3 linked regions of the Drosophila melanogaster genome follow. The protein of the gene in region 3 interacts with the protein of the main gene of each other region in a pairwise test. Each region holds a gene or a part of one and is shown on either strand. Other genes may lie near its edges.

What was found. Proteins that work in one complex are often made in the same cells at the same time.
Region 1: the proteins of CG6180 (region 3) and CG12355 interact in a two-hybrid assay, tested with the Drosophila melanogaster proteins (one large-scale study listed by BioGRID).
Region 2: the proteins of CG6180 (region 3) and CG10026 interact in a two-hybrid assay, tested with the Drosophila melanogaster proteins (one large-scale study listed by BioGRID).

Annotation. Positions count from the first base shown.
Region 1 is NT_037436.4:15,489,868-15,498,719, forward strand, and holds CG12355 (uncharacterized protein), read right to left. Parts: upstream 5,683-8,852; 5' UTR 5,372-5,682; intron 5,138-5,371; exon of another isoform or gene 5,036-5,137; 5' UTR 5,025-5,035; coding exon 4,893-5,024; intron 4,792-4,892; coding exon 4,700-4,791; intron 4,411-4,699; exon of another isoform or gene 4,073-4,410; intron 3,715-4,072; coding exon 3,602-3,714; intron 3,464-3,601; coding exon 3,186-3,463; 3' UTR 3,097-3,185; downstream 1-3,096. Other genes in the region: CG13455 (uncharacterized protein), read left to right, coding at 6,848-7,407, 7,476-8,049; CG7276 (uncharacterized protein), read left to right, coding at 8,379-8,852.
Region 2 is NT_033779.5:19,452,358-19,460,819, reverse strand, and holds CG10026 (uncharacterized protein), read right to left. Parts: upstream 5,143-8,462; 5' UTR 4,640-5,142; coding exon 4,637-4,639; intron 4,412-4,636; coding exon 4,252-4,411; intron 4,191-4,251; coding exon 4,096-4,190; intron 3,997-4,095; coding exon 3,652-3,996; intron 3,593-3,651; coding exon 3,414-3,592; intron 3,345-3,413; coding exon 3,227-3,344; 3' UTR 3,097-3,226; downstream 1-3,096.
Region 3 is NT_033779.5:12,705,711-12,713,226, reverse strand, and holds CG6180 (uncharacterized protein), read right to left. Parts: upstream 5,567-7,516; 5' UTR 5,457-5,566; coding exon 4,683-5,456; 3' UTR 4,547-4,682; downstream 1-4,546. Other genes in the region: CG5787 (uncharacterized protein), read left to right, coding at 921-2,865, 3,002-3,852, 3,918-3,974; CG15484 (uncharacterized protein), read left to right, coding at 5,698-6,318; spict (spichthyin), read right to left, coding at 6,780-7,516.

The DNA.
Region 1 (8,852 bases), on a different chromosome or scaffold from region 3:
TTCGCGTCGCAGATCCATTATGCTGGTCCATCATCAATGCCGGAAATCAAAGGAGAACGCTTGGCAACAAAGGCACCGGAAGTCCCTGTAATCCAAAATGAAGTCTAACACTAATTAACCCTTTCAAGTGTAAATTAAGCCTTAATTGTAAGGAGTTTGGAAATCAAGTAACAAGCTAATAAATAGAAGAAAATTAATAGTGGCACATATGTTAAGCCTACTTCGGAGGAAATAGACGTGAAGAAAAATGCAAAAATAAAATATATATTCTTAACGTATAAAGTGTTACACTTTATTGTTTAGCTAATTGAATTTAAGAAAGTATCATAGTTAGTTTAATCATCAGCAGATAGTATTAGAAAGTATTATGGATATATTAAAAGCAAAATAAAACCATATCTTTTTTTAAATTTAAAAAAAAATATGCCAAAAAATTAGTTTTGTTAAGTCCTGCGACTCCGCACCGTCAAATTCACACTTTACATTTTCATTTCAAATAGCTATCACTGGACATTTGGTTCACTGTCATATTTGCCAAGCGCTTCACATCAAATCGCAATCAGGTTGGATTGATGGAACAGGACTATATATATCTATATGTGTATCGAGTGGCGGTGGGCCGGGGCGCCAAACGTTGATTAATTTCTCGTTTTTACGCCATTTTTCTATTTGTCTTGTGCGGTAATTACGACAAGTCCTTGGAGCAGGATGGATGCCCAGATGCCCAGATACTCAGATAGCTGGATAGCCAGCCAACTTCCTGCCGCGTGTCCCAAGACAAACACGAAAATTTCCGAGGAGCGTCAGGGCCCGGCGGTTCCGATCCGCTCCGCTCTGTTCCGCCGGACAGACGGACGGACGGACAGATTGGACGGACTGCTTCCGGTAATTGAATCAAATGAAGCAGCATTAGTATTAGCTTCTTATGGTCGGTATCGCACGGGAGACGCTTCCTCTGGCATAACTCTGTTTATTTTTGTAAATTAATTTTTAATTTAATGTACGTGTGGTGGGCGACGCGCTAGTTTCACGCCACGATGGCCGGAGCGACAGGAAGTGGGCGGGGCCAAGGATCCACCGCCCACCCAAGGCAAACAGCCAAAGCAAAACAAAACAAGAGTGGAAAGCCAAACACGAATGGCGATTGGACGCGGAACTCTGTATGCTCTAATTGAAAATTTTTTTTTTATTTTTTTTCTTCTGTATAAATATATAAAGTTGAAAGTTCTGCAGAAGTAAGTTAAATGATGTTTGCATAATCGCAATAATTTTAAGATAATTTCTAATATTCACGCAAGATAAGCTAGGATTGAATTCTAAATATATTAATCCCAAATAAACGTGTTTGAAACTAAATTATTAGTTAATTTTTAAAGTAAACTACAGATTAGTGTGCATATTAAAATTTTTAGAAAACAGTTTTGAATTCTTGGTTAACCGCAAATACCCTTAATTTCTGTAGCGGACCAAGAAAGCACCCGAAAATCTGCCCAGAACGAGTAGATGAAGTAAATAGTCCCTGGCCCCGGCTCCACACACAAATATAAAGTAGGAAAAGCAGTTTTCAGCTGGTCAGCAGGCTGTCGAAAATAAAAGTAAAACAAAGTGGGGCGGCGTTGAAGGGGCGAGGCGGTCTACGGTATAAAGCGAAAAGACGACGAAATACTTTTTCAAGATAAACGGAAACAAGCCAAGATGGAATTAATTTTCCGCTTTGAACAAACAAGCGGATGTAAATAAAAAAAAAAAAGAAACACACACAAAAAACGAACCAAGAACCAGCAGCAGCAACCTAGAGAATCCAGCGAAGACGTCAAAGTCAAAGGAGTGGGAAAAGGACCTTTGCAGGCGGTCCAAAAGGAAGTAGACGCATTTCTGGCCAAGTCGAGTTCTTGGGAAATGGGAACTAAGAGGGTCGGTTTGAACTGGAGCTACGATGTCTGCCAAGTTTAGCAAATTCAGCCTGGACACAGGCTGGGCCAACGTTATGTGCTGTTAATGAGTGCACAAGAAGTTTAATTGTAAGACTGCCTACACAGCGAAAAATGGGTGCTGGTAACTTCATAGAATGTAAGCTATATAAAACTCAGAGTGTATTGAATTTGGAGTTATTGATATATCTTATTCGTAGGGATACTATTTGCCCTTAAAACAAGATATAGATATAATATAATACTACTTCATTAACGTACATATTTTGAGGACATGTTTAATTTTGTTTAGCTTGCTATCAAATGCTTTATATTACTACGATTTCTTTCAGTGCAAATGGAAAACTGTGAGGAAAAACAAGGAGGTGGCCTCAGATGGGCGTGCGGTAACTACAACACACACGCATATTGACAAATTGCAATTTAAATAGACAACAATAAGTTAAACAGACGCACACACTCAACGCATTAACATGGGGCGGATATCGAAGGGAGTTGGCAGCCGAAACACGCCACGTCTAATTAGTTTTGCTGGGTGCTCCGTAAGCTCGTGGGTCAGGGGTCATGGGCATCAGTCGGCCGAGATGGTAGAGATGAGCAATAATTAGGCAAAAAGTTAATGCGATCGGGGAATTACAATGCATTTAGCCACGGATAGCTGCCATTGAACAAGAGACATAAATTAGGGAACAATATCTAATGTAAATGTTAAGGCAAAACCCACTTAAACATACAAAAGCTCTTATAAGTGACGAAACCTGATTACTACTATGGATAGCAGTGCACGTAGTGACGAAGCGCACCTGGTTATGTTTGAACCAAAAACAGGGATAATTTTAAAAAATTGAATTTTTTGTTATATGTCACATAAATTTTGGTTTAGGGAGTTCAGTGCACGGAGTCCAGCGGGATACGCAGGATAGTTCTTTATTGTTTGAGTGTGGCAAATGTTGATGGAAACATTTACGCACACACGCACACAATTTAACGCGCTTACACACGCTGATAAACAGCAGACACACACACACACACACAAGCTCGCACTCACAGAAATAGATGAATAGAGGGTAAGTAGTAATTGATGAGTTTCCGTTTATGGGAACATCAATCATACGCACTGTATACGAACGCTTTGCAATCAGGTTAAATAAATAAGTCTACCACACTATTTGCTTCTCCTTTATTTGGCAATGCATGGTCAAAAACTATCTAGGACTATATACATGGTTATGGTGTATGGTGTATATTCAAATCTCATGTTTCGGAATTCCTTATGGCAGCTGCATTATTATTTGAATCAGTTGCAATTTCTTTCGTTGCGACTGGAAGACTTTGCCGCTTGGTCCAACATAGAATATTCACCCAAATCAATCCACAAATACCCATATAGATGACACGGAATCGGGGTGCAACCAGGGAAAAGTTCAAGGCCTGCGCGGGCAACCAGAAAATGCAGGAACGCATAAAAGTCGGCACGAATTTTTCGCGGAGTTCCAGGAAAATATCCGCAGAGCCCTCCATGATGGACATGCCTGGAAATAGAAATTAGTTTGTTAATTGTCAAATAACAGAGAACATGTGTTAAGCGTACAAAAATAAACATGAAAATGTATTATTAATTTAATATACATTAATTAATCTTTACATTTGAGTGTATCAGTGGAACTTACCTGCATAAAACACAGTCAATAGATAAGGCGTTAGTACAAACTGATCAAGCACTAATTTTTTAACTATGATAACCTTAGTGGTGCCAGGAAAAGCGCGATCTAACCATTTGTACCTAGGAAATTGATTATTTGAATTATTATGCTTGATATATATGCTTGATTATATTTAAGACATCAAAGTAAAAGCTAAAGCAGGCTAGGTAAGCAAGATCTTTTTTTGGTGTATATATAGTGCTTTTGGAGTTACTTTATATAGTGTGTTTGCATATTTGTAATCAATTTATGGTGTTAGTATTTATTTATGTGTAAGTGTTTCATACATTGTGTATGTGTTTGTGATATGTATTTATAATATTCCGAGATCTTTATTCCCTATGTTTGTATATCCTTGTGTGCATCTTGTTTTCTTTTGTAAGTTTTGTTTTTCGAATCCAGATCCCCAGTAGCCAACTTCCAACTTCCCAAACTTACGTTGCATTTTGACTTTTATGTCGTGCAAATATGCCCAATTTCTCAGTGCGTTGCGTGCTTTTCTGGGCAGCTTTTCCCTCTCACTCAATTAAAGAGGAAAAGCTTGGTGCTCTGGTGGCGTGGGTGCTTCTAAAGAGAAAGTGTGAAGAGAAAGTGATAAAAATGGCGGAGAGACATGCTCTTGACTTGCGACACGTGCTCATGGAGCTTTACCGGAATCGTAAACAAATTGATAAAAGTCAAAAACAACAACAGAAGCGTACGGCGAAGCAAATTGAGGAAATAAAAAGAATGGTTAAATGGCAAGCATGTAAGTGTGAGTAAATTGAATGGTCCACAGATGTGTTAGTATGAACAGCCTCGGCCAACGTAATAGCTCCGATTTATATACTAATATTTTAAGTTGACTGTTTTTGCTCTAAAGTGTCGTTTTTTAGTCATAACATAAAATCAGAAATTTAGAAATAAGAAATTATAATGAAAAGTTATAGATTTCATGATAAACAGATTGTATTAGAAATCAAACAAAAAAGCAGAGCTACTATGTCGACCATCACTGTGTACATGTGCAAGTAATAATAAAATGTGGCTATGTATGTACAGATTCATAAAACTGAGGGCACGAACCAAAGGTAAAGTGTTGGGGCATATACTGCAGTACCCATCACGGCATATCTTCCTATTGTTGCATAATCGATATCCTCAGGTTTGCTCGCCGTCTACGGGGCACATAAATAGGATTAGAAATCGCCAGATCGCCCTCGGATATATCTCCAAGCTCATATTCTGCACATGAGTGTCTGTAAATGATTTTACTTACGGCCAACCAGCGTTTGGATGCGAATTGCTGGGAATACTCGGCGCCCACATAAAGGCTCCCATAGATGGCGCTGTTGGTGACGAATGGATATCGATGGAACAAATTGCGAACTCCCGAAATTAACCGAGCCATTATCTTAATTGCTTGAATTTTGATTAATATTAATAACAAATTTTTTGTGACAACTTTCTAATGAATTTTTTTTGGAAGCGGCCAGCCGCCAGCGCTAACGGAGCTTTACTGAGGAAAATTCCAAGCGATGGCTCAGCTGTTACAAAAGACAATAAGTGAAAAGAAGAGAGCCAAAAGAGAAAGACGGGCAGCTAAGAGAAAATAAAAATGTTTACGTTTTTTGAATGCAAACAAGAGCGTGGAGTAAATCTTTCTTGTTTAATAAAAGCTTACAAATGCAGTTACCTAAGCGATATCTTAGACGGCCTTATCAGTCTTCACAGATTAGATTTAATTCTATTACTTACTTCCAGCATTTTTAATAATAATTCATCAACGAAATTTAAGGAAGTGTAATTTTAAAATAATTTGGTAGGCCATTGAATAATGGGAATTGCTTAACAAGCTCGAAACAATGTTAAAAAATAGAAACTATCAGGAAATTGTGATGATGGGCATCCAAGGAACCCAGATAAGAGCTGCGGCTGAGTCTTCCAACACTCCATTGAAATCGCTGAATGGATTTAAAGATGTGAAATAAGCATATCCAAAAAAAAATATTTCATTTTTGATTAGGATTTATATTTGGGTTGATTTGACGAATTTTACGGCGACTATTAGTTTTTTATAAACTCTTACAAACTCAAAAGCAACCATTGTACAAAATATTTTCCACTTCCTTTCAAAAAGCGGTTCAGTCTGGATTAAAAGAACGAATATTCATATTTTATTATAAATTATGAAATATATAAACTATAAAATCGGATTATTATATCCGGTAGCTGTCATAGTAGCAGTCGGAAAATTAAGTGAACCTCGTATAATTAATTGTCAATAGCAGCGATACTATAACCTTTGTATATCTAGTTAAATCTAGTTAATATGCTGCAATTTACTACAATAAATTTTTTTACTTGGTGCAAAAACATCATCAAGGATTTTACTGAAACCCATGACGTAAAGGCAACTCTCGAGTATTCTCCACAATCTTTACCGATTGCAAAATTGCCTCAATCAAGTTTACAATACGTATGTATCGCTCTTAATCAAGGATACATGCAACTCTCTATGTCAGCAAAACCAAAAAATGGAAAAACTGAGGAAAAAACAACAAAAGTTTGGCCCATAAAAATGCAATAAGTGTATCAAGTCTTGGCAACCCTTTTTGGCTAATGGCAATTTACGCACGACTAACAAACACCAGAGGAAAGCTGTGAAGGCAGTTGGGAAAAGTCGGGAAAAGCCTTCAGAACATATGCGAGGGAATGAAATCGGTGGCGGAGTAACGACAACTTTGATTGAGTGCCGGGAAAACTGAAGGCAAAGGTGTTAAAACTGAAAGCAATTTAAAAAGTTGTGCGATACCATATGGAAAGTGAGCCCGGAAGGCAGCAACTTTCGGATAGCTGTTGGTATACTCGGAAAAATCTAAGAAAAGCTTCAGAAACCAATAAGAAGAAATTTACATAATTTAATTTGTTTAAATTGTAGTAAATATTGCTATATTCATAATAGAAACCACAACTTTTTGACTTCCTGCTGTTTAATTAGAAGTCTAAACATTGATAGAGAATCAATTCTACAAAAAAGCTAATATCTTAAAAGCATCTAAAAGTATCTGTTTTTATATTTATTTATTGTAGTGTACCGAGCACAAGTAGGCAGTCATTTAGTGACAAACAAGCCGAGCACACAGCGCAGCACACACCTGAGTACTTTTACAGTCAGGTGACAAGACGGAGACATCGACGACGACAGCGACACGAGGTGGGAAAGGACCAAGGATGAACCTGAGCACCCTTCTGAGGAGTGTGAGCAACGGTCTTGGCTTCGGAACCGTCACGAGAAAGAGCGACTTGGGTCGTCCCCTGGCCCCTCTTAGCTCCACGTCGAGCTCGTCTTCAAATAATTCAAATTTGGATCCCGTTTCCAGTCTCTTACTTCCCTCGGAGGACGAAGAGGACGAGCCCATATCACTGGGCGAAAATCATCTGGCCTCAACTGATGCCAGCCTGAACAAAAACCAGGAGCCCAATCCCTACCAGCAGACCGTCCAACAGATACTGCGACTAGTGAATGAACTGGAGCACACAATTCACGAGGATCGGCAGCAGGAGTTCAAGCTCCGAATGGCCCTCGATCGGCAGACAGAACGGGTTCAGGAACTGGTGTTTTCACTGGACACGGAAAGGAAGCGAAACGAGCGACTGGTGCAGTTGCTCCGGGGAATCGATAGCTCCAGTTCGAGTGAGAGCGATCCGGAGAAGAGGGGCCCCAGTGGCTCCCATGTGAACTCCATTGGTGAGCTGTACGACTCCATCAGTCCACTGCTGATGCAACAGCGGTAAGTTTTCAACAATATTAGAAAAGGGTATACATATGTAGGCACTAAGTATTCTGGCGCATTTTCAGTTACGTTGAGCTCTCCGTGTCCCATCGCCAAAGTCGTCGGCAGTTAGCCAAGAGGGAAAAGGCTCTCAAGGTACTTCAAAGCAAAACGGAGCAGCTGCACTCCAAATACGACGAGCTATTCGATGAGTACCGGAGTGAACAGCGCCGTTTCGAGATGCTGTGCACTCGCTATATTCAAATGCAGTTGAAGAAGAAACAGCAAATCTTCAATCTAAAGAATACACTCGGTCAGGCTAGCGAGTGTATATTCCATGCCCAGGTGGTCATCGATGAGTGTTGTCATGCGGAGAAGTCGCCCATTTCTCCGGAGAATCTGGAGATCTTTCGCAGGAATCTAGAGTGCTTTATGGATGCGCTCAGGAACTGCTGCTGCCTGCGAAAAGTCCACGAGCTTCAGCAGCAGCAGCGCAAAAAGGAGGAAATGGAAAAGTGTCAGAACCAGAATCCAGTCGATGACTTGCTCACACCGAAGGCCAGGGAACGCTCAAGTCAAGAGCAGAGTAGTGACACCTACATTCAGAATCTCTCCAATCGACATCCTCGTATTCGACGTTACAGGCATTCAGCTCGTTAAATCTTCACTTTTGGTTACTACTTAACGTTAGGTTAACTTTGAAATATTTTAACTAGAAAAAATTGGGTCATTTAGACAATGGAAAGTGTAAAAAAAAATAACAAAAATATGTTTATGCGAAATAAAAAACTAACAAAACAATAGATTTTTTTATAATTGCAAAAAAGGTTAAAAAGCGAAAATTGAACTTATTATTTACCAATCACTGTGTTTTCTTTGGAAAACTAGATGGCCATGAAAAATTTGTTCTGTCTGATTATTTCTCTTAACTTATTGCAATCGAAGTTTATCTGGAATTTGAACGAAACACAGATAAAAATATCGCAAAAATGTCGACACAAAGACCCAAAACCTTGTCGACTGCAAAGGAGTCCTTTCGAGCGTCCGCGGTCAGCGCAGACAGCCGATCCGAGGTAATGTCCCACAGTGACTCGGATGAAGAATGGGAGCCTGGGAATGAGGATAAGCCGGCATCTGATGTCACCATCTATAACTACTACAACATGGGACCAGCATTCGGCAAGAAGTTCCCATTGCCGTACATTCGCTTGATGATAGCCCAGGTGGTCAAGGAGAAGCTGGCAAACAAGACCTATAATCAATCGGAAGCCCTTAAATGGACCCGCGAAGTCGCCGATGACATAAACATTAAGATGAAGGGACGCGGCTCTTCTCCAAGATTCAAGCACGTTGTGAACGTAATGCTTTACCAGCAGACCGGAGCCGGATGTTTCTACGGAGCTCGCGCCATTTGGGATGAGCTGTCCGATGACTACATAACCTTCACCTTTGATGGTGGCAGT
Region 2 (8,462 bases), 6.7 Mb from region 3:
CGCATTTGACAATGTTTATTACGCCGGATTAGGCAGCATTACAACTTACTGGGGAAAAGGCGCTCTAACGTGGTCGCCATCCTGCCATGTGGTGATGTGATTGATTGTACCCGACAGTCCATCCCCATCGCCCCCGGAATCCCGCAGATCATCGCCTCAAGTGCACTTTAAGCACGAAGTATAGTCGTGTTTTATCACGAGCGTCTCCTGGTGAATCTACAAAAAATCGATTTTGAAATGGCAAATAACGTTGACATGTTCACGTCAATTTACCTTCCGTACCCCGGTGGAAAACCAGCCACCACCTCACTTTCCATCCACATATCTCAGCGGGAGTGCAACTCCATTGGGGGTCTCCTTTGTGTTGTTGCACAATGAGTTTTTACGCGATTTATGCTCCTACTTTTCCAATACAGCATTAATGACTTGTGACGGAGGATCAAGATAGACTGGAAGTTAGTGCATGTGCACCAGTTTTAATTTTAGGATGAGACTCAAAATCACTCATTTAAAAGCAAAAATTCTCGTCCAAAAGGCTAGCTAGCAACCTTTATTTCTAGGAAACATACATACTTCTTAACCTAATGTTGGCCTTTTAAAAAACATAGAAATTAAATTCTACAAAACTATTTAATCAAGTAAAAAAGTTATTCGCTTTAAGAAATTCCTATTTATTTTTTAAAAGCAAATTCTAAACACAAAATGTCCCTATGATGTTTCAATAGCTCATAATCACACATAATTTTCTCTGGCACACACACAGTTGGCAGTCGGTAGTGCAAAGTAAATAAATTTCGCAACCATTTATCACTTGGGAGGTCCTTCGCCGAGCAAACATACTTCGTCCTGCGGCAGGACCTGTGGTAATCGGTGTCTGTGGCAACAGAACCATAACGATCCACCATTTATGCAGCTTACACCTTCGCCTCGGGCCTGGAGTCGTCGTCTTCCGGAGTCAACAAATTGACAGCGAATATTTCAATTATACTGGTCTGGCCTGGTCCTTATTTATGGAAATCCCCCAAGCCCGAACAATCCTCACTTCGCGGGGCAGTGGGAAATTGACCCCCGTTCGGCACAGTTGATGTTTGTTTACAAATCGCTGGACATAATTTATTTGTTCCTATTGTGTTTTGCTTTTGGCCTGGGATCTGCCTGCCAATCGCCGCGTGATAAACCGCCTTCGGTGATAAGGAAACCCAAACGGGGTGTGAGTGAGGGGTTGATTCGGTCGGGGTCACCCTTGCCAGCTCATTAGGAAGCAATTATCCGTTTAGGGTTGCAAACATATCTTCTGGGAGAGAGGGAAAAATTGAGGTCAGGTACACTGTCAACGGATGTCAACGACTGTCAGTTTGACACTGCCTTCGGTGACAGTTGACAGCCGGGGAACGCCCTCAAATGTGTCTCCTGGATAATATGGCCAATTTCGGAAGTGAGATGCGGAAGCAGATGAGTTCGAATTGAGGAAGTTCTTTGGGGAATTTGGCTTTCTGCATGTCTACGGAATAATAAATCGGAGGTTATTTCAAGAGTAAATTGAGTTCAGAGCATACTAATAGAAGAGACACACAATGACACTAATTAGAAATCAAACAAGTACCAACTATGGTTCCCTTTAAAGTTAATAATCCAGCGAACTATCTAAGTGGTTTTAAATGGTTTTGGATACTCGTTTGCTCAATTTGTAATGACTTTCCTTTAGTTACTGGTCAAAAAGATTTCTGTCGTCCTCGGAATGATATATTTATGTGTATCTCGAAATCCCCAAGACATTGGCTACTTAAAAGACAGCACATGTTGAAGAAAACGAATCCTTTGCCCCTTCTGACCGCCTTCTTTGTTTTTCAATAAAACTCGAATAAATTCAGTTTGCCAGCCATAAATTATGTCCAGCTCGGTTTCGCCTCACACACGTGTTGCCAGAAGCCAGAAGCCAAAAGCCGAAATGCCAAAAAGCCAACTAATAACGCGCATCGGTCGTGCCCCCCAAATGTAGGCTATGCGATGTGTGTTTTTTGTCCGAATGTTTTTTCCGTTCTGACTGCCACTGTGTTACTGTCCCCCCATAAATATTTGCGCAATAAATTTTTTAATCTTGTCGCTTTAATCGCACAAATGTCGCTGTCCTTTATACGCACTCACACAGCTGTCCAGCACGCACACAGATTATGGCCACCCCCATCCCCACAATCGAGCCACATACACATAATACGCATAATGCCAACCTAGACCCCCGGTAGCACCGAAATCAATTTCACTATCGTTGACCAAACGGAAAAGCAAGGCCATTGCGGAGAATAGAGGGGGCAGGATTCTGACTTTGGACACCCTGCACTTGGACGAAAAAAATTTGTGAAGCAATATACTTTTAACCGAAAGCAAACATTTAATTATATATACTTAATTTCAGTTTATATATAGTATATGCTCTAAACTCTGAAGCTTTGGGTGTAACCATATATAAATTTCTAAATCTTAACCATGAAACCTAATTGACAATACAGAGTAACTTTAAGTCGAGAAAGTAATTCTTTACCGTTTTTTACGCAGACGGCAATGACTTCCGGGGGTCGGAGGATAGCGTTGAGACAACGGGATTCAATAAAAAATATCAAACATATTCGCAACGGTCAGATGGAGGAATCGAAATCTCCAGCACCCTCCTTCTGTTCGTCGAGCTCGATCTCCCCTCTCGCTCACATCCGGTGACAGGACGAGTGCAAACATATTTATGGCTACCGACTGCATTTTATGCGTTGTCCAACACTCAATTACCATAACGGCGAATGGTCGTGTGGCCAGTTGTCTCGCTCTAGCACCTAACGCATTTTGCATACGAATCGCATAAAACTCAAAGGACCAATATGCTATACATCCTAACCGAAACGAATGTTTTGCGGGCTAGCCGGGCCATTTGATTCGGTTAGGAACAAATTATTATTGCCTTTTGCCCCGAATTTGGTCGTGATAGCCGATGGGTCATTGATGTGACCGCCAAATGTATGAAGCATTACGGTTTATGCCGCTTCTAACCTCAAATTGTTGGGAACGAAACTCAAATGAATTGTTTGGTGAGTAATATTGCGTAGAAGTAATTTTCGAAATTCTTTAATATTTAAAATATCACCTACTTTGCTTCAATTGATTCTGGTATCATTACTTAACATATATGTAGTACAAAAATACAAGTATCAAGCATATCATTTTAAACAAGGCATGAAGCCTAGTCAAAGATGAATCCCAATTGCTCCATATCCTTTTGGATACTATTGCCCGAACACTGCTCCTTCAGCATATCCAACCAGAGCGTATAAGAGTAGTCCTCGTGCAAGCCACCATAGCTGAAATAGTATAAGTTTAATTATATCTGACTAATTATTTTAATAAAAAAAAAAAACCATTTTACTTACCGCTTGGGAAGATGTTCTGGGTTGATGTGTTTGTGCAGGGAAGTCATGTCACTGCCATGGATGTATAGCTTTTCTCGCATAGCGGCGTTGAGGAAAGGTTTAAATATCTTGAATGCCGCGTTGAAGACCCAATTCTGATTTACAATATGAAGGGCGGATGTTCTAATGGGCATGGAGGTCTGCAAGCCAAGTGTAGGTTAAAAAAGCTATTGAAAATAATAAAAAGTAGTTATCCTACCACTAGTAGAGCAATCATCTTCTGAGCCACGCTGGGACTCAGGTGGAGTATGTGTTCCAAGCCCAGGTCCTTCAGATCGAATATTCCCACTCCTCCGACAATCTGTGAGATGGGTTCCAGGCTGCCCAGTTCCTGCAGGACAATGGTGGCGCGAAATATATCGTCGACGGTTACTTGATTGGGTCGCCACAGTCCGAATCGGTAGATGAGTATCCTATGGCCATGTTGATCCCGATAGGGAGTCACTGTCAGGATGTCCGATTGCCCAACATGTCTCAGGTCCAGAGGACGAACCTTCTCATAAAAGCTTTTGTTCTGCTCCCGAAACCTGTAGTAACTGCAGAGCTGAAAGGGAATGAGTTATTGCATTTACCTAATAGATAATTATCAAATAGTCACTTGCTGTTGGCAAACTAAAATGAAGATTTCCCCAAGTTTTCTTACCAATTTGTAACTGTTCTCGATTTTCCAGTAGCGGGCTCTTAGGAATTTCTCCAGGTACTTCGCATCACTTCTGTGTGGTTGGCATTCATTATGTTCTGGAGAGGTTTTGTTCAGATGAATACCTTTGTACCTCTTAGACAACGGACTATAACCAACCTAGTATGTAGTTACGGAATTGTTCGATGACCTTATCCTTGGAACTGGGACACTCTCCCTGCTCCTGGGCAAGTCGGCGGATGTGCTCCGGAACCTCCTCCTCGGTGATGTTTAGCTTGTGCTCGATGGTGGGCATGGTGCGGCATCCACTGCTGGTCGTCTAAAAAAAGCCCAAACTATAGATACAATGTGGCCATAAGGGGGTGGTGCATTGATAAGCGCTTTTCACTCGCGCAAAATGTAAATAAAAATAAATCCAGTTGAGAATAGCGCAATATGACTGTTCCCGATTGTTTCGTTGTTAGCAACATTTCGCCACCCGTATTGACATTTAAATTTCAGAGAGATTTGGCATGTCACTGCTGGATGAATTTCTCGTTGTTACCATTTATGGGCTGTGATCCGCTCGACTCCAAGTGTGAAACTGAGCCCCCGATCGGAACCAGAATCGGGCCAAGTGGTGACAGTCCCAGGCGAAATGCTGTTTTACTTGTCGCTAAACATGTACGAGTGTGTATGCGACCATTAAATATTAACTAGAAACCGAACAACAATGAACATTGCGATAGCGCGAAGGAGACAGCCGATGAGTGATAACAGTGTGTCACTGAGCTCGAGCTAAATTTAGTGAATCTGCTGTACTTAATTGATGGAGCGGGAATCCACAAGAATTATAAACAATATAGTATAAGTAAAGTGTTGTGCAATTACTCAGTTTTGGCTGCACTTAGTTTTTAGAAACATTGCCTTTGGGTTGGTTGTTTCCAGCAATCAATACATTAGGTAGGTACACTTTCAAAACAATGTATGCAAAATGAAATCATTAAAATTTTTAAAATCATTTAAAATATATTAATATAATATAATAATATATATATATATAATATAAATATATACTAATTGGGGGTTAGTACCGATTGTTACATTGCTAGCTTAATCTTGGAATTGCATAGTGTTCAGCATCAGCCCCAAAATATGTGCTCTTGTTAGGTGTACCTCGACCTGGCCTTGGCCGGATTTCCCAATTCCTATCCCTACACCCCAAAACGCAGAGCCAGACCCAAACTTGCCCCCAGTGAACCCCGCGATTGTAGAGGAGCCACTGCCTGATAAGGCATTATCCGCCGCGTTCCCAGTTCGCCAATGGCTAATCGGGTCGCTTGGGGTCTGTGCGGTGCAGCGTTGTGTGAGTTCGACGCGTATTTGGCAGATACTGTGAGATGATGCCACCGCGATCTCAAAGTGCAGCACACACAAATTTCACACGTGGTGGCCGTGCAAAGTGCCTGGGTCAATATTTAATCATATTCAACAAATTCCAACTAATTACACATTATGCACTTTTAAGTACGCCTGATTGCAGTGCTTAAGTCCCAGCACATACATACTCGTAGTTCGGTTCAAGTGTTAATGAACTCGCCATTGTTGTCGTTAATTGTCTACATGGATTTGATAATCCCAAGATAATCACAATAATAGTGCCCCCCATTAGGGTGTTTGATAATAAGCGATTATTTCACAGCCCCACCTGCACCTTTAAACACCTGTTTAAATCGCCCCATTAGCTCGGGGTCTTCACTTTCATTACCAGGTAATAATCCAATCCGAGTGGCGGTTACTGTTTCTGGTCACGGTTTCTATTTTTTCCAGCTTGCAGTACGGGGAATCCGACTTAACGAAGATCGCACACAAGTGGCATCGCAGAAGCTTGGAATGAAACTGAGCTGGGGATCGCTTAGAACAGAAGATTTTATGAACACAAGTCTCAATGGAAAAAGTCGAGAAAAAGCGCAGCACTTATGACTATAAACCAGTATGCGAGAACGAGAAACCAGCATCTGAAAATAGGGAGAGCCAGCTCGATGAAACGACGATGCAAACACCCTTAAAAACGCAATTAAGTAAAATTTGTTGATTAACAATACATATACATACAATTTATTCAAAAAAAAAAAAAAGAAACTAATTGCTAATTGTAGTACTTATGTTTATCTTTTTATCTTACCAAATCTTAGGAGTTTTAGCTCACATCTTGTTCAACTTGCTAATAGTATCCTGGAATAAACTGCACTTAACTCCGCTAGTTCACAATTTTCCCATGCATCAGCTGAAATTCCCAATTTGGCAGGGTACAAACTGCACTCCGCATATTGAGAGATCTTTGCTGATGCTTGTCAAACGAGAATCAACAGATTTGGAGGAGTAGAGAATATTTCTGGACGATATTCGATGCTGTGCAAGTTCAATGAGCTCCGGTGACGTCACTGCGTGAAGGGTTCTCCATTACCCAAGCAGAAATTCCGAGTAACTCGGATGAATCCAGAATCTTTATATTTTGTTTGCACTATTCAAAACATGTTTCTGAGCCGGAATGAAAATCGCAACGGGATGGGGAGGGACATGCCCCTTTATGACGTCGTGTTGGGCAAGGTCAGGCAAAATGGCAGAAAGAAAACCAGTTCTCTTGTAGCCATGGTCTTGGCTTTGGAATATTCATATTACCAGGTGGTTAATTGAAAAGCAATCTTCACTTCAACGGTGCGAAATTTAATTGCACAAATGCAACTTTAGCAGCAATTTTTCATTTCATTTCATTTTAAGTAATTGCTGTATATCACATTGATGTGGGATACAATACTAAGCATATGAAAGGATAAATTTCTTAATGGTTTTACTTTGTCTTAAATTTTTGATAATTTGCATTTAGATCGAAATATTTTATCTTTTTTACATTTATTTCAATGCCGATTTATAATGTAAAAAATAGAAGAAATGTTAGTTGGAATAATTAAAACCCCTACTTTCGACTCGAAAAAGAATTTAACCCCAAAAATGTTATTATTATTTATTACCTTCGAATTTTTTAGAATTAACTGTTGCTTAACTCATCACGTGATTGAGATAGAACTAAAAAACCGTGATTTTGGCGATCACGCTTTTAGCGGAGTCACCGACCGCAGTTACTAGTTTAGCCCTGTTCACAATGAGCGTATGCACCAACCCAAACAACACTGTTATGGGACTTATCGATAGCGATTTCATTCAAACATCGATTTGTGCGCCTTGCCAGCTCTAAAACCAGCAATACTTCTCATTTGTTGTCGGTTGTGAAAAGTTGTTAAATGTGCTGTGCGTATTTTAATAGTTAGTTGAGAACTGTACAAGTTTTAGCTAAAGGCAGCAGACGCGTGGGGCACGTACAAGTCGAAAATTGTAGTGCACCGCCTCGTGTATCGCCTGCAACATAGAGTTTTGCCGCACTTCGGTTGTCGGCGGCAGCAAGAAAAGGCCACAAATACTTGGCAATTTTTTAACCAGGTAAGCAGAAAGTGCTGAATCATAATCGTAGAATTGGCTGTACCGTAGAACCTAAGAGCCCTGTCTAATTAATCCTTTAATATGATGGATATAGCAATTTTTCGGTGGCGTCGCTTGCAAATTAAAAATGGCGATACCGGTATAGACATTTAGCTAATTTTGGGCCTTTAAAAACCATAGTTTTTTGATTTTGTAGCGCGGAGCGCGTATGTAGGCCTGAATTTGTTTACTATAAAGTGAAACCCCTCGAAGAACCTTAATAAGAAATAATAAATAGCGGTGACTACCGGCAAACGCCAATAAACACGCACACTCACGCAACAGACGGCGCACGCCAAGCGTTGCCGCCAAAGAGACAGGGCTGTTATGTATTTCAAAGTGTGCTGAAAATCTGTTCCCAGTACAGTAGCACCAGGCAAAATAATACTTAGTTTGACGTTTTTCAATTTATCTGCAGTTATTTCTGTTTGACGTACCCAACCATTTCCCATGTTGGCCAAGTCCCATTCCATTGCAGCGTTTGTCTGGACGGCATTTACGCAATGCGCGGGCGCGCGTTTTGTTTTTTTTTTTCACCGTGGGTACAGTGCGCATTCATTAATAAAAAATTGTTGAACAGCAGCATCAGCAGCATTGGCATCACATGCCAACGCACAACCATCCCCGTTATTAAGAGGCCATTAAACATATTGGGTGCCATCTATCTTATTTGGTATTATAACAATTAAAAAAAAAACGTGAACATAATATTACTAATATACTAATAGCAACTGTTAACTGGGTGGGTACTGTAGTCTTCTGCTAGTAGCTTTGGTTTTTTTTTTACTTAGTAGAACGCAGGACGAGTGATTAATAGTAGCTAAGGCAATGGCTCGGAATATTAGTTATTAATA
Region 3 (7,516 bases):
TTTTCTATATATTCAAATGATATCATATATTGACTGCGAAAGAAAAAAACATCATATTTTATTAAGTTGTTTATATCTTTTTAAGTTTCAATAAAAAAAATTTTGCTTGTTAATTTTTAAGTTTATATTACTTACACACTGACAAATGTGCTGCGCTTATTTTGTCAAAATACTTATGCCGACTAGTGTAGATTAAAAAGCGGTTTCGAGGCAACAGCTAGCTTATATTTAACTTTCATAGATTTTTGTAATGTTTTTTTTTTTTGTTGGTTTTCCTGGTTTGACTTTCGTGCTCATGTTTTATTCTACATTTTTCAAAAGAATTTGTGATTCAATATTTTCAGGTTGTGTGTTTTCTTTGGTAGTGAAAGTGTAAGTATGTATGTAATATAATATAATACTTAATACAACCAATTCATTAGTAAATATTACTATAAAATATAGCTCTTTAATTAACTACGATAGTAGTGAAAAGAAATTATACAGTAAGCTTCTTCTCTATAAATATCTTGCTAAAGAAATTTTTTGGAAGATGGCTTTCAGAATATTACCGAATCAAAACCGAAATTATACATTTGTCAAATGTTGTTTATAACAAATCACATTTGACATAATGCTTAAAATATAAATAAATAATAATTTATTGCAAGGTATTCCTAACTAATTCAATAGCGGTATTTTTCTATCACGCTCAGTATTTTTCAATAAAAATACCAACTTCGAATCGGACTTATTACCATTTTGAGCAGCCGGCTTTCATTGCTTTGCAACCCTGGCACCAGACAGTGAAAAATTCGGGGAAAGGAAAGCATTTTTTGTGCCGCGTTTGTTGTGTTGGAAAAAATCGCAGAGAAGCCAGTTAATTGGAAGCAGCGGCGAGTGCTCGACGTAAAGGTAAATCCGGGCAAGGACTATTCGGAATGGACTACCGCCAAATGAAGAACGACGCTTACGGCATTGGCCAGCGGCGCGGAATGGGGAGCTCCAGCGGCGTTGGTGGTGGTGGAGGAGGCGGCGGCGGCGGGATGTATTCCTCAAACTACGGCGGAGGCGGTAGCGGCGCCAACTTCGGCGGAGGCGGCAATACCAGTGGCAGAGGAGGCTACGGTGGCACTTTCGGTGGCGGAGGCTACGGCGTCAACCGGAATACCAGCCCAGATGGTGGCAACTTCAGTCGCGGCGGTGGCAACTACAGCAACAACAGCAACAGTGGCGGCAACAACAGCTACCCACGTTCCGGAGACGGAGATCGGAGCGGTTTCAATCCGAGCAGCAACCAGCGTTTCGGCGATAATTTCCAGGACAAATTTCGTGGCGGGCCGTCCTCCAATTTCGGCCAAGCGAACAGGGGAGCATCCAATCAGAGCAACGTAGCCCGCTTGCTGGAGGTGGAGAACCGTATGGACTGCAATCCAGATGTCAACTATCGAGGTCCCCAGCCGCAGGGAAGCGGCGATAGGTTTTTCAACGATGAACCCAGAAATCAGGGATCATTCGGTAATTTCGTTCCCAACGATGGAGTGCCATTTGGCGGCAACAATGCTCCCTCTTTTGGTGGAAACAATGGACCCGCTTATGGGGGCAATAGTGGACCTTCCTTTGGAGGAAGCGATGTCCCTTTTGGTGGAAACAGTGGTCCTTCGTTTGGAGGAAACAATCAACGCAACTTCAACAATGACAATTTCCCAAACAGAGGTCCTAACTATGATGACCAGCGTTCCGGTTTCAATGATTCCTACGGACGCAGTGGAAATCACGGCAACTTTGGCCAGAACTCTGGAAACTTTGGGGACAACAATAGGGATATAGGAAACTTTAACAACCGCGGACCGGCTGTCGGAGGATCCGGAGGCCCAGGCTTTAACCCGAACTCTGGTGGCAACTTTGGCAGCAATAATTCCGGAGGCGGCTTTAGCAACAACTTTGGCCAGAACTCTGGAAACTTTGGGGACAACAATAGGGATATTGGAAACTTTAACAACCGCGGACCGGCTGTCGGAGGATCCGGAGGCCCAGGTTTTAAACCGAACTCTGGTGGTAACTTTGGCAACAATAATTCCGGAGGCGGCTTTAGCAACAACATTAGTCGCACCTTCCAAGACTCTCGCAACAACTGGAACAAATCACAATCATCATCGTTCCAGAACTCTGGCTATCAATCGAACAGTGGTGGTGGTGGCGGAGGTGGAGGAAGAAGCGGCGGTGGTGGAGGAGGCGGTGCCGGCGGCGGAGGAGGAGTAGGTTCCGGTGGCTCTGGATGGGAAGCTGGTCAGCGCGCCTTCAACTCGAAGCGCAATCAGCTGCAGAAGATGAATCTGAACAACAGCGGATCTGTTCGAAAGCCAGCTCCACAGCCAGCCGCTAAGGCGGTCCAGAACTTGCGCAACAATCCTCAGAAGGCTGAAATCGTCAAAAGCGCAGGTGCGCCCACTCTGCGCAACAACAAGACCGCCAACCTGCGTCCGGGCAATGCGACTGGAGTACAGAAAAAGCTGCCCGTTGCAGCACCAAATCAGTATAAAGTCAATAACGTAACACCCAATTCGAAAACGGTCTCGGTTACCAACAAGAAGCCACCGGTGGCCGCACCAGCCGTGAAGACCGGACCGCAGGCAAACAGGACAGGACCACAGGGATTAAGAACTGGACCACAGGGATTAAGAGCTGGACCACAGGGATTGAGATCTGGACCACAGGGCTTGAGAACTGGACAACAGGGCTTGAAAACTGGACCACAGCTGCAGAAGTCGGGACCACTGGCACCTAGAACTGGCCAGCAGGCAGTGAAAGGTGGACCACAAGGAGGCAAACCAGCAGGAGTGCCCAGTAGGCCGCCAAACGCTCCTGGATTCCCCGTCCAAATTAGTAAGATTCAGTTCTATTTCGTAAGGTTGCATTACAAAACTTTCTTCTAACTATTCCAATTCATTTAGTAGAGTTTTGCAAAGCAACTAGGAATAGTTTTACCATACACAAGTTCCTAATATGTTATGCATTGCAGGTCAGAAGCGTGTTGCCCCACCTCCACCGCTGGAAACGGAGGCTGCCTCCAAGTCGGTCAAGAAATGGCGACGCGTGGCACGCAAGCGCGGTTTCCTTATTGGCGGATTCAAGATTCCCTATCTCAACGATCAGCCGAAGAAGCTCCCACAGCCGGAGGCGGACTCATATGCCTTGACCTTCTTCGAACAAACCTTCAATTACAGTACAAACCAGGACGCCACCGAGGAGGACTTCGTAGAGGCGGCCGTAGTGCTCAACGAAGATTCGGAAGACGAATCGGTGGCCGACGACGCCAAGTCGGCTCGCAAGATTGCAAAGCGCAACAGGAAACGCATACGGTCCGATTGGGCACCGCTTAACGAATCGAAGAAATATAATGATTGGGGCAACTGGTGGAAGGACTACAAGAATGTTGGCGAGGAGATCGACCAGCAACTGTTGGAGTGTGGGAACTTGAATCTAGAGCATTGCTTCCTACCCAATCTGCCCAAGCTAACCACAGAGCAGGTGGTTTACGCTATCATAAAGTCGGCACACTTTGGTCTCGAGAAGAATGCCGACGTGCCGTACGACACAATGAAGACGATCTTTACGTTGATGAACCGCACCTTCCTGGATAACCTTACGGAGTTGAACATGGTGGAAATACAGGACATTATTCGCGGCATACCCAATGACCTGTGGGTTTACAAGTTGCGCAGCATGGTCTTCCTGTGGGCCAAGTACAAGGCCATTACCAATTCCAAGTCCACCGCCGAGGACGACGTCAAGGATCAGCAGGCGATTGCGCGCGAATGGAAGAGTCCATGCTTCCACTGGCTGGCCAAACAGGCTTTCGACGAGCTAGTGGTAAGTTGGTAACATAGTCATGCAGCCTATTTCATACTAACTAACTCCGACCTTGCTTTTTATAGGCAATCAGCGAAACCGAATGGAAAGACCATCGCACTGTCTTTCCCTCTATAGAGTAAAGTAATTTGGAAACTAGACACCTCCCCTCCTTCTCAACAGCCGAATATGCACTGGACCCATCAAAGGAGGAAATAGAGCGTGGGTTCTTCTTCAGCATTATTTTATGGATTGTATGAGTCTGCATCTAGTTGTATTAGAGACCTTTATTATTGCACACATGAAGAACCATCCTCTTGACTTTAAGAAGTAGATTGTAATTATGTCGCAATGCTTTTACAAATAAATAACTTACCCAGATGGGCGTCTCTTGCGCCCTGGGAAATAACTATAATACTGATCAGAAACGTTCTTCCTATTTGGAAGGTCCGATAGCAATTATGTCTTGTATCTTCAAAGCATGTATTTTGGCGAGATATAAACTCAAGTTCATGAAATCTGTATGTATACAAATGACGCTAGAAGAATCCTATTGATAAAGAAGTAGATTGTAATTGGAATGAATAATAAATACATAACCAGCACAGAAACTGTTTTGCCTCAGCAAAGGGTAACCGAATTATTACTTCAGACAAATTAACAAGATAAGATATGAAAATATTGAAAATGTGTAATAAGATACAGTGGCTTAGTTAATATGTCTTTAACAATTTTATTGCCAGCAACAGAGGGTTTCACAGAGTGTTCATAGGTGTCTTTAATTTCTAGGTTACAATAGATTTGAATCCAATTCAGACTGGCTTATATAAGCATGGTTTTTGGCGTAGAAACTAAGCGCCCAGCTGCTTGTAGAGGATGGGCACATAGTCGTCGTACTCAGCCTGGTAGAGGTTACCGGCAATGGGATTGCCGAGGGCGTACTTCTTGGCGAACTCGGCGATTTTGAAGCCACCGCGTCCATCTCCGCTGTTATTGGGCAGTCGCTTCTCGTCGAATGTGAGCTTGCACCGCTGCTCGTAGATCAGGAAAACGTAACGATGGAGTCCGGTGTCTGGTGGAGGCCCGGATCCCACGTAGGCGGAGAGAACCTCGCCCTTGGCGACATCTCCACCGGGTATGTTGCCCACCAGCCAATGGTGCCACTCCCTAAACTTGGGATCCTTGCGACTGGGCGCATCCGGATCGGTCATGCAGAGGGTGTACAGCTTATTGGCGTCCGCCTCCCATTTCACGCACGGCTCATCCTTCACCTGGGTGGGGGTCAGGACCTGACCCGGCTTCACGACAATATCGCCGGGATATTCCACCACAGCTGTCTGCGCCGGTGCCTTGGCGATCACATCCGGAACTACGCAGTGCTCCTCCATTGTTTTGCCTACTTTTTCGCAAGAATACTGCCGCTGAGATGCGATAAATGCAAAGATTGGTTTCGGTTCCTTGGTTAGGATAGAATTGCTAAAAGTTTTCAGCGTTCTAATGGCGGCCGGAAAGTTGACAGCTGAATAATTGACATTCACACCGGTTGATCGGATGTAATCTTTTCTAAATCCATTTAAAGCGCTGCGATTGAGATTACGCAACACCCGGAGCCGCATACAAATCATCCTTATTGCTTAAGTAAACCAAATTGGATTAATTAAAAAACTGTTTATTGTTCTATTTGCCGACTGACAATCGATAAGTTGCGATTCACCTGTAAGCGTTTAAACGTTTTTATCGCTATCGATAGGAATGTGTGATTTTGAATTTCTAATCTTCGAAAATATTTGCGCAGTCTACTTGAGAAAAGCATTTCCGGGAAATGAAAATAAGGCTGTGAGAATACTATAAGCAACTGAAATCATCATGGCTTGGGTTCCCACATCACGATTCGAGCACGATCTGGTGCAGTTGGAGCCGCACTTTAATCTGGTCCATGGACAGATCGCCTATGAACTGAGGAAGAAAGAGGAATTCTCAGAATCCGTTCCCATTCATACCTATGAGCTTTTGACAGCCCGCGAGGATCTGCTTGGATATGGCACGCGGGGTGGAAAGGGCCGAGAGATTCGTCAAAGTCTGCAAATGATGGAGACGATTCAGAGAGTAGCTGGCACCAAGCCGCTGGGAGAGCACGCCACAATGGAGGACTGGGAGGACACCACAATGGTGGACGTGGAGGCGATTGCCATCATCCGGAACTTCGGAAGAATGACCCTGAAACAGGACTCACTGACACTCCAGCCGCAGATCAGCTTACCTGCGGTTGCTCCAAATGAAAGCCAGCGATTTCCTTTAATCACAGATCGCGACTTCTTCACGCCACGAAAGATTCGTAGACCAAAGGATCTTCCGCCAGTGGAGAACAGTCCGGATAACTCAGCCGATGACTCATTTCACACCGCTAAAAGTCTGAGCAACTGCATCTGGCTGAACGGATTAAAATATCCAGATAAGACCAGCAAGGGCGAAATTCAGAATACATAGATACTTCATTAAATTACTAACTAACAAACCTTGAAAATAACTTGAAGATTTATTTTACTAAATCCGATTGAGCATGTACTCACATTATTTGCAATGAATATTGTCGTTCGATTTGGAACGACCTACATTTACCAATGTAGTAGAATATTTTAATGGTTTTTTTTTAGTAATACATAGATACGAATATCATATCAAAAATCAAAAAATAAAACTACAATTACAAATCGTTTTCATTAAGTCGTGTTTAATATATGTAAGTGTAACCTAAACCTATGTGCTTATGCTAGCGAATGTATGAATAACAAGAGTGAAGGAACAATAAATGGAAATGATGAGATGAAAGTGATTGCAGGTGATATGCACAGATATTTGGACCAATGCCTCGTTTACGGAGTAAAGCAACCTTGTCTTCAGGTCAGCCGCTGCAAGGGATGTAACTAGACCTGGTAGCGCTGCTTGTGTCAGGCCTTCCGGAAGATGTCGCTGGATCCGTAGGACAGCCGCCGTTCCTTGGTATTGCTGGTGACCAGCACCTCCTCGTCGAACTGCGACACCCGCTGCATTTTCGGTCGCATCAGTCCACGTACATCGTTCAGCGATATATCAATATCTCTGAACGCGTTGAGCAGGAACACAGCTGTGATAACGATCAGGAAGCCGCACACATCGCCGAGAATATCATCGAACCGCATGTGGGTGAACTCCTTGAAGAGGATGGCAGACGCAGCTATCACCAGGGTGGTGAACATTACATAGTACACTGGAGTAACTATACTAGTATTGAATATATCCAGCGCCTTGTTCAGATAGTTCATCTGGATGGCTATGAAAGTGACGGTGACCAGGATCAGGAACCATGGCATCCATGTGAGGAAGACGTTGCCTCCGTTATTCAGCGTCTGCCGTATGGCTAGGCCCAATGCCTTGCAGGACATCACAGTCAGAGATCCGATGCCGGAGCACAAGAAGATATAAACTACCACATTGGTGTGCCCATGCCGTGGTGCAATGAAGCAGGCCACAAACACCGTGGAACCGACGATGCAGATCACGTACAGAATGAAAACCGGATCCAAAAGCATATCGAATAGCAGCTGCAAATCCTCGATCTCCTTCTCTTTGGGCGAGTGAATCACAATGATGGTGGATCCCAGTATGCACAGAAAGCAGCCGATCTTCCCCAGCAAGTTTAGCTTCT